2 linked regions of the Diceros bicornis minor genome follow. The main gene of each other region encodes a partner of the protein of the gene in region 2 in a complex. Links are inferred from orthologs where the notes say so. Each region holds a gene or a part of one and is shown on either strand. Other genes may lie near its edges.

Region 1 (7,762 bases), on a different chromosome or scaffold from region 2:
CATGGTTGGAAAACAAAATCATTCTGAAGATGGATGGGGAAGGGGAGAACGACTGGTCCAGGAGGCAAAAGGAGTCACTGCTTTAGTGACCTCTCTCTGGCACCAGGTACCCAGCATTCACTGCAGGTGCAGATGGGGAAGGGCGTTCAGCAGCCCAGGAGAGCTGGGGAGCAGGAGGGCACACCATTTATCAAGCTGGCCTCTGTACTCAGCTGGCTTTAGGCCCTTCCAGAGAACAGGCTGTGGAGGCTGGGGAACCCTGCCCAGCCCCTAGTCTCCTCCAAATCAGGGGTTCTCAACCACGGCACTAGTGACATTTCAGACCAGATGAATGATGTGGGGTCTGTCCTGTGCAACATACAATATTTAGCAGCATCCCTGGCCTCTACCCATTAGATCCCAGTAGCACCAAGTTCCGCAAGATCACTCAAACCACTGCTCTGGACAGATCGCTGCTCCAGAGCACCAGAAGGTGCTTCAGCAAAGAAAAGGAACTAATACTTTAAAATCCCTACCAGATCTCAGATCCTGTGCCAGGTGCTCTGATGTGTTACTTCATTACTGCTAACAACTCTGCGACAAGAATCATTATTCTCATTTTAAAGGCAATGAATTTGAGGCCCAGAGAAGGGAAATGACCTGCCCAAGGTCACAAAGCTAAGCTGTCCAGCTGGCCTTCAACCCAAATATGCCTGACTCCAAAAACCAAGCTCCTCCTACAAGCCCTGCTGCCGCTCCACCCACAGACGCAAGCTGCACGTCCAGGCACTTGCTGTGTGCCCAGCACTGTGCAGAAGCCTTCTGGGATTTTGCCCAGCGATGCTCCCATGGAACCTCGAAGTCCAGCATGGTTCTCCTCCTTTTAACAGAGGAGGATGCTAAGGTTCAGAGAGGGTATGTGACCTACTCAAGGTCACACAGCTAGAGCCTGATAGAGTTGGGTCTGTGTGGATGCATGGCCCATGTTCTTTCTATTGCTTCTGTGTGATCTCCCACCAGGACTTGCTTCCCTATACAGCACTAGGACAGACCTCCTCCCTACCTTCCCCTACTCCAATCAACCACCCCCTATCCCTACTTCCCTTGCCTCTGTCCTGAGACTCCTAGAAGTCTGTTCCATAGTTTAAATTCAACGATCTAATGTGAGTCCAATACCACGTGGTAGGGACTCAGTAAGTATTAGTTCTTCCTCCCCAGGCCCCACATTTGCCAGAATTTCAGTTCTCACGTGCTAACCTCCCTTTCCCCAATCCCAGGAGGTACACTCTCCATGGTAACAAGGTTTCTGACACTGCCATTAGTGGAGAAACTACCATCTACTGGATGTGCTAAGCAGCCTCAAGGAACCTGACTATCACTAGTCAGGGGCGTACCAAGAGATGACCTTCAAGTCCCTACAGCACCAGGACCAAGCCAGCAGGTAACCAGACCTTGTTCTCCCCATCTGCGGATGGTTCTGGGCCACAGGCCTGAACTTGGAGCCCATTTGGCACTGCCTGCCCACGAGCCAGGTCCTGCACCAGACTGCAAAACCAACCTTCTCTCGTGGGGGCCCTTCTCATGACCCCATTTCGCCAGTGGGGTAAGCAAGGTGATCCTGATGGGGTAGGAAATACAAGTTTGAATCCCCACCTTTGACAACACATTCCTGTTCAAAGAAAGAAAGTCAGAAGGTTTTTGTTTTAAAGGTAAATTGGAAGAACACTGCAGGACTCCTCCCAAAGCCAGTCTCTGGGCCTGCCTTCCCAAGCTGAGTCAACTGATTAAACACCCAGAACCTGCTTTATATACAGCAGGAGCCTCCAACCCTGCCCTGGTGAGCGCGGGGGAGGGGTGGGCGCTTCCTGTAACACCATTTGAATCAAGAAAAATCCTTCCTGTGAGAATAAGTCAGTTTCCTGTGCTCAAACTGCTAAGGGACCAAGCAGGCTGTGACAACCACCTCTATTTTTAATCTTGTTTTCTAAACGCTGTTTTCTGTGGCCACAAGAAAGGTCATTTGCAGGCGTGGGGCTCTACTTTTACATTTTACTTGACTCTGGTTTTTCTTAGCTCTAAACTACTAGTTTTTTCCACTGCTTCCTGCACAAGAAAGGTAGCAGGGGGAAGGGAGCCAAAACTCACTTGTTGAACGTGGATGAGACCATGAAGGTCCAAAGCCCAAGAATGGGCGACAAAGAGTGGCATCAAGCTGGAGGGTCAGTTTGATTCTGGGGTGGGAGGAGCACAGGCTCAGACCTCAGGGCTGGACTAACGCTGCAGGTTGCGCTCCCCCTTGGGTCCTTTCCCCATCCACCCACCCATCTTCGTGTGGTGCTGCAATCCAGCGCGAGAGGGCTGCCCTGGAGCCGCCCCGGCCGCTCAATTACTCAGCGGTGGCTCACCTCGGCCCCTCCCGCCGATCAAGCCCGAGAATGCCCCCATTTCCTGCAAGCGAGGGATGGAGTGACGGGGCCCCCAAAGAAGGGACAGCCTGAGAGGATGAAGAAGCAAGAAAGAGAACAGAGAAGAGGCCTGGAGGAGTGCGGGGCCGAGGCCGTCCGGCACGCTCCCGGGGCCGCCGAGCGGGCCGGTCACCAGGGTCTAGGGGCCGCATGGGGCTGCGCTGCTGAGGGAGGCTCTGGGGGCCGGGGCCAGGGACGAGGTAGGGGGAGGCCGGGTCAGGGGGAAGAGGGGACACCCGGACTGAGGGGAGCTGGCCAGAGGGGAGCCCGATGGGAAGGGAGCTGGGAGACCGAGCTGAGCGGGCCGGGGTAAGAGGAGTGGGGAGGCCGGCCCACGGGACCGGAGCCGGGAAGGAGGGAAGTGGGAAGGCCGGGCCACAGGGGAGCCCAGGCCGCCGCGCCGGGGAAGGATATTGCCGCAGGAGCCCGTCCACCTCGCTCGGGTCCGGGCCTGGCTCGGCCGCCGCCGCCGCCGCCGCCGCCTCCTCGTGCTCGTCCACGAATTTGTTCTCGTCGAACTCGTCGATGTCCACCCGACGGAAGCGCGAGGACAGCGTGTTCCGGGCCATGGCGGGGGCTCGGCGCCCGCTCAGCCGGCTCCGCTCCGGGCCGGACCTCGGCTCGGCTCTGCTCAGCACCGGCTCCGGCTCGGGGGCGGGAAGCGGCCGCCGGCACCGCCTCCTCCTCCTCCGCGCGCAGCCGCCGTGCCCGCCCACTTCCGGCCCACGCCGGAACCGGAAGTGCCGGTGGGACGGAGGGGCGGGGCCTGTGGGGGCGCCTCCGGAGCGACTGGAGGGGCTGGAGAAGTAGCCTGCTGCACTCCCCTCTTCCCATCCGAGGAGAGGGCCCCAGCCAGCATCGTAGGCGCCGTAACTGCGCTCGTTCTTCGGTTTCCTTCCTGCGTCCAAGGAGCCCCTGGAAGGGCCGGCGCGGGCACGGCCGCGGACTCCGGGGGCCTCACTGCCCAGCCTGAGGGGCCGGGGGCCCAGGAGAAGGCGGCCGGCCCTACGTGTCGAGTGCCGGGCAGGCTTCTTGGAGAAGAAACCTTCGAGCTGAGGCCTGAGGGATGAGTAGTAGTTCTTAGTCCCCGAGGAGTGACGGGGGTGGGGGAGCCTGGTCTGGATCTTGGGAGCCTTGAACGCCACTACACTGAGCTCCGAGGAGGCAGCCTCTGCCTTGTACACAGAGACCCTGTTGTTAACGGACTGGGAGACTTTATAGACGTTTAAAGGGTATCCAGGGTGCTGACAAGACTATGAAGACATTTGGACTTGAGGGTGCGGCGTGTAGCAGACACCTTGGCCGGGCGGGTGGGCGGCGGGAAGAGGGAGATGACTCTGGCCACCATCCTGGCAGGAAGGACGAGGTCCTTGGGGCTGACGTCGGGCCAGGCTGGAGAGGCATATCCTGGTAGGAAGCCGAATCCCCTGAGTCTGAGATGGGGCAAGATGGAGGTGGGGGGAGGTAGGGCAGAGTCAAAGGCGACTCTACTGCCACCATTAGGTGCCTGGGCTGTTGCTTGAGGGGTTCTGTTAATGGTCCTTAGCCTTCGACTAAATTGAGTCTTTGTTTTCATATAATAGTACTCTTTTTAATAAAGGCCGGTAGTTAATGAAATGTGATTCATTCTTATTGCTTCGAATACTTCTCATTGAACTGTCTACAGGTCAAAAATATTGCCAGACTATGATGCTACCTAATCTTGGGTGCTAAAGATACAGACTCCTACAGGGGGAAATAGGTGCTGAATTAAAGTCTCAGGGGGTCCTGAAAATAGACAAGGCCCACCTGTCTTTCAGCTCCATACCTTGGAAGAAATCTTTGTGACCCAGGCAGGCCACAAGACAGCAGAAATTCATATCCCGAGAACATCCTGGCCAGAAGGAACTTTAAACCAGCAAAGCCCATTTTACAAATAAAGAAATAGCCCCCAAATAAACTGGTGAATGAAATAATGTCCCTGCTTATCACCATGGACTTCCATTCCAGTCAGAGGCAGAATTCTAAAAATCCAAACTATACTATGACAAGGATGACTGCATGCTGAGGGAAAAAAACCATGCAGAGCCTGGGTGTACCTTAGCTAAAGTGGTCAAGAGAGGTGTCCCTGAGGAGGTGACATTGATCAGGGACCTGAAGGAAGTGAAGGAGGGAGCCAAGCAAAGGCCCAGAAGCAGGGCAGGCTTGGTGTATTCCAGAAAAAGCAAGGCCTTACTGGTGCAGAAGAGAGAGAAGAGTTGAGATAGAAGTGGGGGCTGGAGGGAATGCTGTAGGGCTTGGTAGGCTGAGGAAAGGATGTGGTCTTAACTCAAATGGGACAGCCCTGGAAATTATGGGCAGAGCAGTGACATGATCTGACTTAAGTTTGAAAAGGGTCCTGCTAGCAGCTGTGCTGAGAACACGTATGCGAACCAGAGCCAAAATAGGTGATTTAAGAGGTGACACAATGGTGTCAGGCCTGTTAGCTCAGGCCAGGCAGGTGCCAATAAGAGTGGTGGGAAGGGGCCGGCCCAGTGGCATACTGGTTAAGTTTCACGCTCCACTTCGGCAGCCCGGGGTTCAAATCCTGGGCGTGGACCTACACAGTGCTCGTGAAGCCATGCTGTCGCGCCATCCCACATACAAAAAATAGAGGAAGACTGCCACAGGTGTTAGCTCAGAGACAATCTTCCTCACCAAAAAATAAAATACAATAAAAAACAACAAAGAGTGGTGGGAAGAGGTCGGGTATATTGTGAAGGTAGAGGCTGCCAAATGTGCTGGTGGATTGAATGTGGCCTGTAAGAGAAACGGGAGTCACAGATGACTTCAAGTTCAGAAAAGACTTACACGATCATTAGCTCTAATAGAATTATAAGCATTTGGAAGATAGGACAGCAGAGTCCCTGTGCACCATTCAAGTTCCATTTAAGACTAATAATCCATGTCAATACCCTCTGTCTGCCCTCTCTTTCCCATATCCCTCCACTTCCTGGAAGCCTGCCTCACTGTGTCTGGGGCAACGCTCATTAATTCATTCATCCAAGAAGCCTCCATGTGCTGGGCCTAGAGACTAGAAAAACCAAATCAGGGCCGGCCCTGTGGCATAGAGGTTGGGTGCCGGCGCTTTGCTGCTGGCAGCCCGGGTTCGGATCCCAGGCGCGCACTGATGCACTGCTTGTCAGGCCATGCTGTGGTGCCGTCCCATATAAAGTGGAGGAAGATGGGCATGGATGTTAGCCCAGGGCCAGTCTTCCTCAGCAAAAAGGGGAGGATTGGCATGAATGTTAGCTCAGGGCTGATCTTCCTCACAAAAAAAAAAAAAAAAGGAAAAACCAAATCAGATGTCAGCCATAGTTCTGCCCCCAGGGAACTTCTAGGCTGGCTATGGAAACAGACACATAAACATCATTTTAATTCAGTATGTTTGGGGCTAAAGAGAGGGTTGCACAGAAAGCTTGGGACACAAAGGGAGGTCGTTTCTCAATTTAGTCCAAGACTAAGGTCCATTAACAGAATCCCATATGTTGGGGATGGGAGAAGGCTCCCTGGAGGAGGTGACACCCGACACCAACAAGGGGACAACCTGGCTTTAACTAGAGCTCTAAAAGGTGTTGGCATGTCTTTGCTAATGGAGTGACACTAGAGCATGGATTCATGCTTGCCCGTTGGGGCAACAATGAAACCGCCCAGTCAGAAAGCCTGAGCACCTTCCCTGCTTCATGAATTTGCCTTTAACTCTCAGGGCACAACTCAAGCGTTCATTCCAGTGGGAACATTGTAACTGATGATATTTTGAGCATTGTTATGCCTCAGGTCTTGTGCTAAGAGTTTTACATGTTATCTCCGTAATCCTCATCAATACCCCATCTCACAGGTGAGAAAACTGAGACTCGAGAGAGGAGGGGTTTTGCCGAGTCTCAGTTGTACCCGGCAACAGAGCAAGACTTTGAAACCCGGTCGGGTTCACTAAAAAAAGGCCAAGAATGCTCCTTCGCTGCCACTTGCCGCCTCCACCAGAACGTTTAAAGAGTTGGATTATAGCTGTCTGACCCCGCCCCTCCCCGCCCACCTCGGACTTTAAATTGCTCCAAGGCAGGGGCCGTGTTAATTCATCTTTGAAAACTTTCATCCCCTTGATTCCCCAGAACACCGGCGCCCAGCTCAGAGCAGCACGGACTGGGCGACCTGCAAAGGTTTACGGAATGAACGAATGAATGGATGAACGAATAAATGACTGAATGGACGAATCCGAGTCCTCACTGTGCCATCTCCGGAAAGCTGCCGTTCACCCCGGGGCTCGGTTTCCCCAAGTGCGCTGCTCAGGGCGTGAGGCCGATCTAAGTCATCTCAGGTGCAGGAGGAAGAGGCGGGCGCTACGGACGGGCTCGGTATCCTCGCGGCGGGGCCAGACGGGCGGTACCACGGTGCTGCCGGCGGCGGGGGTGGGGGCGTGGCAAGGGCGGAGCCGGAGCTCCCCCGCCGCGGCGCCATTGGCTGCGCCCGCCGCCACCCGGCAGTAGTTGCGGAGGTCGGCCCCGCCCCCTTCCTCTTTCCCTCGGAGCAGGCGGCGGCGGCGGCGGCGGCGGCGGCTTGTGTAGCCATGGTGAGAGCTGGGGAATCGGACGCCATCCGCGCGCTGTCGGGCTCAGGGGCTGGGGTCGGGGGCGCGGGGTGAGCCCTAGGGTCCCATCTGCTGGCCGGGCCTGTGGGGCGCTTTGCGGAATGGCCTGGCGCCGCCACAGCCGGCCTGGGCCAGGAGGGGTGCGCGCTCCCGGTGCCTCCGTCTTCCCCTCTGCGGAATGGGGTGGCGGCCCAGCCTCGTGGTAGGCCTGGGCGAGCGGGGATACCGGGGCCTCGGTGGCCCTACTCAAGGCACGGCTTAGCGGGGATGCTGGGCCCCCAGCGCGCTCGTGGCCCAGGGCGAGGCGCGCGCCCCGCTGGCCTGGCCACGACGCGGGCGCAGCGGAGGGCGGCCCGCGAGGTGTCTGACCCGGTCCCTTTCCTGCGCGCAGGCCAAGATTAAGGCTCGAGACCTTCGCGGCAAGAAGAAGGAAGAGCTGCTGAAGCAGCTGGACGACCTGAAGGTGGAGCTGTCGCAGCTGCGCGTCGCCAAAGTGACTGGCGGCGCGGCGTCCAAGCTCTCCAAGATGTAAGTGACCGCGGCCGGCCCACGGCCCTTTGGACGTGGGGGACACGGGTGCATCGGGAGCACTTGTGGATTGTCCAAGGTGGCTTCAGGAGGAGTCCGTTTAAGTGCCGTTCAGGGGATCCGTGGGCCGGAATGTCAGGCCCTGGAGAGCCGGCGTAATGCTGCCCTCGGAAGCCCAGCGGGACCT
Region 2 (7,296 bases):
GGAAAATGCAACTAGGGCTGCTCTGCCCCAGTGTGTTGACAACACAATGCCTCAGCCCTGGCTCTGGGTGGAGAGAGGGGCAGGACAAGGCCTCCGGGACACCCACCCACTTGTCACCACGGTCCTGTGAGCCAGCACCATGGGCCCATTTGACTGCTGAGGACAGAGAGGAGGGGGCCCTGGGGATCATGTTAGGATCATGCTCTGTGCCCCCATAACCCGGAAACAGAGTGAGACTGGGGGAGGGGAGGGGCCAAATCCCGACAGACTCCCCTGCTGGCTCCAAGCCACCCCCCACCAGCCTGGAGCCAGGATCTCTCTGTGCTCCCAGGAGCACTTCCCTGGCGTCAGGCACACAGTGGGTGCTTGGAATGAATGGACCAGGACCGCTTGGGGCTGGGGTGCAAGGGGACAGAGAAGGGCAGCATGATGGCTGGGAGGGGGTTTGGGTTTCCATCTGGGAGTGCCATAGACCATGCACTGGGATGTGGATGTCAGCTCCATGGGGGCAAGGGTGTTTGTTTTGTTCACTGAAGCATCCCCAGCACCAATCAGAGGGCCTGGCACACAGTAGGCAATCAAGTAATAGTTCTGGAATGATGCTGAACGAATGAATCACATCCTTTTTGCTGGGTCTGTCTTAGGAATACGCAGGATTGCTTCAGTGACGCATGTATGCAATTTGTAAATATCTCCCGGGGAGTATGTGCACCAATTTTTTTCCCTGATAGGGTCAATGATTAGAAAACCTGCAATCTAGAGGGTCCTCTCTGAGGATTCGAGGAGAATACAGCTCCCCTCCTCAGCAAAGCAAGCCAGGCGAGGCCTTGGGCTGCCCCGCCAAGGGCCTCAGACCTCAGTGCTCCTTCTTACAGTGCCGGGTTCAAGTTCTGGCTCTCTCCATACTGGCCGGGCGCCCTTGGCCACCACTTCCCTCACATCTCCATCCAGAAAAGGCTGGAGTTGGACAGGGCACTGGCTGTAGGTTTGTTCTTGCTTTGAAAGAAGCTCTGCCAGTGTTCTCTGAACGCAGAGGCTTGGCTGAATTTGAGGCTAAACCAGGCAGGAGCAGCCTGGAGCAAGGATCTCTGGCTCTACAGACACTCAGGGAAGTCCCCACCCAGCTCAGAGGCTGAGCCAGCAAGCCAGTCTGCACGCGTGCTAAGCAGTTACTCAACTTCCTGTTGTGTGCAGAGCAGCCCTTGCCACCCCAAACAGACCAGCCAATCCTCCTCCCCAACTCTGCTCTTAAAGGCTTACAAAACAGGCAAAGTCAAGTCAAGAGACATAAATGAAAACAATCCCAAGGCACCATAAAGCACCAGTGAAAGTAATCCAAACAAAACAACACCCAAAAACATAAAACTCAATGCTGGCAGGGCTGTGGAGAAATTCTCATTTGTTGCTAATTTGTGCAGCCTTTCTGAAGAGCAATGTGATAACTCTCAATTCAACAACTGGGTAGGAACAAGCAGAACAGAATAACACGAACAGGAACTTAAAAACTGTTAACACTCTTTGGTTGCATAAATTCATTTCGGTGCTAAGAGCCACTTTTTTTTTTTTAAAAAACAAACATGTTCATAATAACTGTTTATAGTGGTGACAGGGTGGAAAAATCCAGATGACAACAAATATGGAAAAAGTAACTAGTGACATTAACATGCTGGGATACTATTTAACTATTAGAAAAGACCTATGTGGATTATATACAAATCCATATGTAATGAACTAACCCTACTGGCATTTTAAATGCCTAGGATTTACCCAGGACTTGGACATTCTCTCTTTTCCCTGCTAAAGCAAACCTAGGAAGTTTTTTGCTTTGTGTTTTTTTCAACCTTCATTTGTACAGACGGAAAGTGAGACTCAGACAAAAGCCAAGATTTGCTCAAAGTCACACAGCTCCTAAATGGCACAGCTTGGATTCTGACCCGAAATACGGGAGTTTAGGTTCACCTGGGCACTTTGTTAAATGAGGGCAGGCCTTACAATGACAGCGACAACACTAATAGCACACACTCACAGTGTGTGCCTGGCACACTGCCAAGTGTCTTACATTACCACATTTAAGCCTCACAACTTGAAAGGTCCCCATTTTCCAGATAAGGAAAGTTGAGGCCCAGAGAGGTTAGGTGGCTTGCTAAGGTCATCAGCTGGTGGAGGAAGAAGCTGGCGCTCTTACCTAGGGCCCTGAGACCTGAAGGGCGATGGGTGTTCTTAACCACGAGGGAGCACCGCCCGCCAGGCGGGAGGAGCCCGGGGACAGCCTCCAGCCCGGCGTCCCGCACCGCACCAGGCTCGCTCCCGGGGCTCCCGCCGGTGGTGGGTGTACGACTGTCCCCGCCCCAGCCCTGGACAGGCCGGCTGCTCTCCTGCGCCGCAGGCGAGGGAGGGGCCGCTCGGGGCCAGCGCCCGGGAGCTCAGAAGCGCCCGTCCCGGGGCCCCCGGCCGCCCCCTCCCTGCACGGACCCCTCGGACCCGGCCCGGGGCGGGAGGCGGGCGGGGGGAGGGGAGGGGGGAGGCGGTGGCCGCGGAGGGAGGGCGGGGGCGCCAGCTCATTTCCCGGCTGGAGAACCCGGAAGGCTGGAGGGTGGGGAAGTGACTGGGTGTGGGGCTTTCGCGGCCCGAAATAACGGGGGACACCGGCCGCGGGGCAGAGTCGGGATGTGAGGGCCGGAGAGGGGACAGGGAGAGGGGCCGGGGGTGGGGGCCGCCTCGAGGGCGCCGGGACCCCTGCGCGTCCCTCGCCCGGAGGCCACCGCCCACCCTCGGCGCGGCCGCCACCTGCGCCCACTGGTCCCCGCACCTCCAGGCGACGCCCCGTGCCCCCACCCCCATATCTCCTGGCAGCCCCCGCGCACTCGCCACCTGCATGCGACCCTCTCACCGCCAGGCACCCCCTCACCCCCGCCTCCCCCTCCGTCCCCCCAGCTCCAGGCGCCCCCTCCCGCGCCCCTTCACATCCCCGCATCCCCCCGCGCCCCCTCACCTCGGGGCGCCCCGGCCGCGGACTCTGGGCAGTCGACGCGCCGAACCGGCTCTGGGCCCCGCGCGGCGCCGCAGCCACTTCCTCGTGGGCGGGGGGCGGGGCCTCCCAGCCAGGCCCCCGGGGACCGGGGCGGGGACCAGGGGCAGCGGTCGGGAGACCCAAGGCCCCGCCCACCCCTCCGGGTTTGCGGGCTGCACAGACCCAAGGCGCGCAGAAATCGTCCACGACCACTCCGCACTACTTTATGGACGGGGAAACTGAGGCTCAGAGAGGGGTGCACAGCCTGAGCAGCAGCTGGGCGGGGACCGGGAGCCTGGCAGGGCGCGTGTCCACCCCCCACCCCCCACCGAGAGTGGACAGCGCCGGACGGGAGGGCGGTGTCGTCTGAGCCGGACCGCGGGGACGGCGGACTCTGCGCTCATACGCTGGCGACTGAGCAACTTAGCGAACCTCTGCAGGCCTCGGACCCCGGCCGCGCGGGAACCATCTCTTCGTTCGCAAACTGATACCCGCCAGGCGCTAAAAGTGCAAACCCGGTGCAGGCAGTAAGGCGTGGCCAAGGCAGCCCGCCCCGCCCGCCCCGCCCTGGATCCTCACTACAAAACCAGGATGCTGGCCCGGCCAGGCATGCACGCTGGCCGCCCCGCTGATTCTGGCTGGCCCAGCACGTTCTCTCAGTGCTGCCTTCTCGGCCCTCTACTCCACCGCGGTCACCTTCACTCCTTTAAGTTACCTGGCTGCTTGCAGCCACTTGAATTTGGGTCTTGGGCCAGGTGGCCGCGGGTGTCTTTCCATCCCTACCCTCTGCCTCATCAATGGAGATGTGGCCAAGTGGCCTGGCAGATGGAGGAGACCCTGGTGAAAACCCTGCACCCTCTCAATTCATCAGGCCCCTCTCCCTAGGAGGCCAGGACTTCTGATGATGATGGAGGGGAAAGAAGCCCCTCTGGGTGAGGTGCGTGAATCTGAACAGGGAAGTGTAACAGCCACAAAGGAAGCCAGACGACAAGGTTAGAGCGCAGATGGAGAGAATCCCAGAGAAATGACCAGAGCCCAGGTCAACCTCTGACCAGTCAGCCTGAGCACAATCTGCCTCCAGAGGTTTCGGATACGTGTGCTAAGGAACCTACTTTACTTTTGAAGCTGGTTCGAGTTGAGTTTTTCTGTTAGTCTCAGTAAAGCATCCTGACCAATGTGCTCACCTGGGGACTCGCTTTTCTCGGTGAAAACTGAAGTGAAGCAAGTTGATTGATGAAAAGACGATGCAGAAGCTTAGGGCGAGCAAACTCTTTTACTGTTTGCTCTGCTTTCCCCTGAGCCTAGAGCAGCGCGTGTGGCATATAGCAAGCCCTCAGTGTGCATCTGTTGAATGAATGAGTGAGTGAATGAATGAATGGTGGTGGTAGAACATGTACCCAACCCTGGCTCTGCCACTTAACCCCGCAGTATAACTTCAGGCAAGTCCTTCGTCCTGCGTGCCTCAGTTTCCGCAGCTGTAAAGCGAGGCTGACTCATAACAAGCGCTGCCCGCCCCCCCTCACAGGCCTGCGGTCATTATGGGAAGACCCAATGGATGGAAAGCACACCTTAGACCGGGAAGCCATGGGGGATGTTCTTTGAAATGGCTCCCTTGGGGGACAAAGTTTTTAAACCTTAAGTGAAACAACTCCTTGGGTGAGGGGAGCTTGGGGGTGGAAGAATTTCTTTTGGAGTGCTGAGAACAACTTGGAGAGCTTTGTTGCTTCCTGGAATCTGCCTCCCCTGGTGCCCTGGGATGAAGATGCTACACTCCCCCTTCTTTCCGCCTTCTCAGGTTTCCAAGAAATGCAGCCACACACCCAGGCAGACTCTGCAGGGCTGGCTGACCTGGAGGAGGGCAGTCAGTAGTAGTCAGGGGGCTGGTCGCGTCTCCAGGTCACGAGGTTCTTTCCAGCTTTCTGCTCCTTCCTCCTCACTGCACTGCCTTACTGCCTCCTGGTCACAAGATGGCAGCCAAACTCCAGGCATCTGGCCTAGGAAGTGGTGCACTGGCCAAGGCAGCAGGAGACCAGGGAGGAAAGCTTCATCTTCTTCTGTCTCAGCATGTTCCCACCAAGAACGGGGACCATGGGTCTCTCTCCCTGGGATCAAGGGATTGCCACCTGATCCCTGTGAGCAGGAGGGAAGAGGGGAAACCCTTGGGCCTCCTTCCCTGGGCCACACATATTTGTAAGGTGGCCAAAGCCCGGGAAGGGGTCCACCATAGCTGAGGCCAGGAACTTGTGTCCTGCTCCAGGAGGCAGTCTTCTGATGGGGGCAGTGTTCTGAGGCACACCCCGTTCCAAGCCACATGGCTTTATGTGTCAGTTCACTGAGAAATTCAGGTCTACAACGAAACCCCATAGGGTACTGTCAGAGGGGTCCCCTCCCATCAGTTCCAATGACATCTCTCTGCTCCCAAGCTTGGGCAAACTGAACTGGGCTTGGTCACTACGCACCTCCACTCCCTGCCCTCCCCCAGTAGGGAGGAGACTTAGCGGTTAGCGCTGGGGCTCTGGAGAGACTGCCACGGTTCCAACGGAGGCTGTCACTTCCCTCTCTGGACTTGAGTTTTGTCATCTTTAAAATGTGGCAAAGTTCCAACACTATAGAGTTGTTGTGAGTAGCTGAGGCCTATCAATTGCTCACCAGGGTGCCTGGCGGTTAGCTGTTCTCACGGTAACGTATCCAAGGCAGGGCTAAAGCACCCCTCCTCATGAGCCCCCTCAGGTGACTGACTTTACGTTAGTGGCTTTCAAACTTTTGATCACAACTCACAGTGATATGTCTACTGCGACCTAGTACACATCCCCACATATATCTGAAACATAAGCATCTTGAAACAACACTTACTACAGGCAATGCAAAATCTGTTCTTTTCTCTTCTGTGTCATTTTCAAATTGACTTTTACAACCATTAACGGGGTCTGACCCTCAATTTGAAAAACTCTGCTCTAGACTATACTTCCCCTCCTTTCTGAACTGACCTAGTGTGTTAGTTTCCTATCACTGCGGTAGCAACTTACTACAAACAGGGTGGCTTATTCTCTTACGGTTCTGGAGGTCAGAAGCCCACAGTCAGTCTCAGCGGGCAGGGTGGTGTTCCTTCTGGAAGCTCCGGGGAAACTTGTTTGCTTGCCTTTTCCAGCTTTTAGCACACCTGCATTCCTTGGCTCCGGGGCCTTGTGACACTCCAACCTGTTATGTCACATCCCTCACTCTCCTACCTCCCTCTTACAAGGATCCTTGTGACAATACTGGGCTCACCTGGACAACCTAGAGTACTCCCCATCTCAAGATCTTTGACTTAATCACATCTGCAAAGTTCACAGGTTCTGGGGATTACGACATGGACATCTTTGGGGGGCATTACTCTATCTACCACATCTAGTATTTGAATTATACACACACACATAACTTAAATAACATAACCTTATAATGTCCGTACTGATCTGTACTGACCAGTCCACATGGGGACTACCTGGGCCACCCTGGGCCTTCACATCACCACCTCCAGGGTTGGGCACACATGGGAACTAGACCACTTGTGTGGTGATTGTTGGGCCAAACTGAAAAGTCCTGCCTAAGCAATTAATCTGGGTTCTGAGGCTGACCCGTTTTCTAGCATAATATTCTGGAAAGAACTACTGAAGTTTTTTTGGTTACCAACATACTTCATACACTTCTTCCCACCTGAGCCCACTGTTATTAAGGGTCTCCGGGGACTACTATACGGCCAGTGTCAAGCCTGAAAGCAAACCTCGGCTTTCATGAGTATCTAAGAGGAATTACTAATCCTGTATCATGCCCATTTTACAGGTGAGGAGACTGAGGCACAGAGATGTTAACTATATCACTCAAGGTCACACAACTTGGCAGAACTATAATCTGACACCAAAGCATCGAATCAAAGGGCTTTGACCAGTGTGTCGTGGCATAGTCAGGGTCACTGAGAACCCCTCCAAATTGGCAGTCACTGTGCACCCAGGCCTTACCTGAGTCTCAAAGGTAGGGCGAGAGGAGGAGGGAGCTTCGGCAATCTCACAGGCCCCAGCACTGCAGCACAGCACTGAGGGTTCCTGGGTGCCATGACCGGGATGGGCACTCTTCCATGAGTGAGAAATGGCCCAAGTTAAAACAAGAAAAAAGACAACTGTGACTATTAAGTCCTTGGAGGGAAAGTTAGTAAATTTTGTTTTTTGTTGCTGTTGTTTCTTTCATGGAATACATTGTTTCTCTAAAAACCTCTGGGCTTGCTGGCCAAACCATGTGATTTATTGAAACTA

What was found.
Region 1: the proteins of ARPC1B (region 2) and ARPC5L are in contact, whole or in part, in a cryo-EM structure (PDB 6YW6), measured with the Homo sapiens proteins. The link is inferred for Diceros bicornis minor from reciprocal best matches to the Homo sapiens genes ARPC1B and ARPC5L. Residues at the interface, in NP_005711.1 of Homo sapiens: Arg118, Lys138, Arg142, Phe164, Ser201, Gly203, Trp204, His222, Asp223, Ser224, Thr225, Leu240, Ala241, Ser242, Glu243, Thr244, Leu245, Pro246, Phe281; in NP_112240.1 of Homo sapiens: Asn21, Lys22, Arg102, Gly139, Leu140, Gly141, Ile144, Arg145, Thr148, Arg150, Lys151.

Annotation. Positions count from the first base shown.
Region 1 is NC_080767.1:33,364,111-33,371,872, reverse strand, and holds the start of ARPC5L (actin-related protein 2/3 complex subunit 5-like protein), read right to left. Parts: upstream 3,088-7,762; 5' UTR 3,014-3,087; coding exon 2,859-3,013; intron 1-2,858. Other genes in the region: RPL35 (large ribosomal subunit protein uL29), read left to right, coding at 7,027-7,029, 7,439-7,575. UniProt on the Homo sapiens protein: May function as component of the Arp2/3 complex which is involved in regulation of actin polymerization and together with an activating nucleation-promoting factor (NPF) mediates the formation of branched actin networks.
Region 2 is NC_080765.1:7,312,706-7,320,001, forward strand, and holds the start of ARPC1B (actin-related protein 2/3 complex subunit 1B), read right to left. Parts: upstream 3,088-7,296; 5' UTR 2,993-3,087; intron 1-2,992. UniProt on the Homo sapiens protein: Component of the Arp2/3 complex, a multiprotein complex that mediates actin polymerization upon stimulation by nucleation-promoting factor (NPF).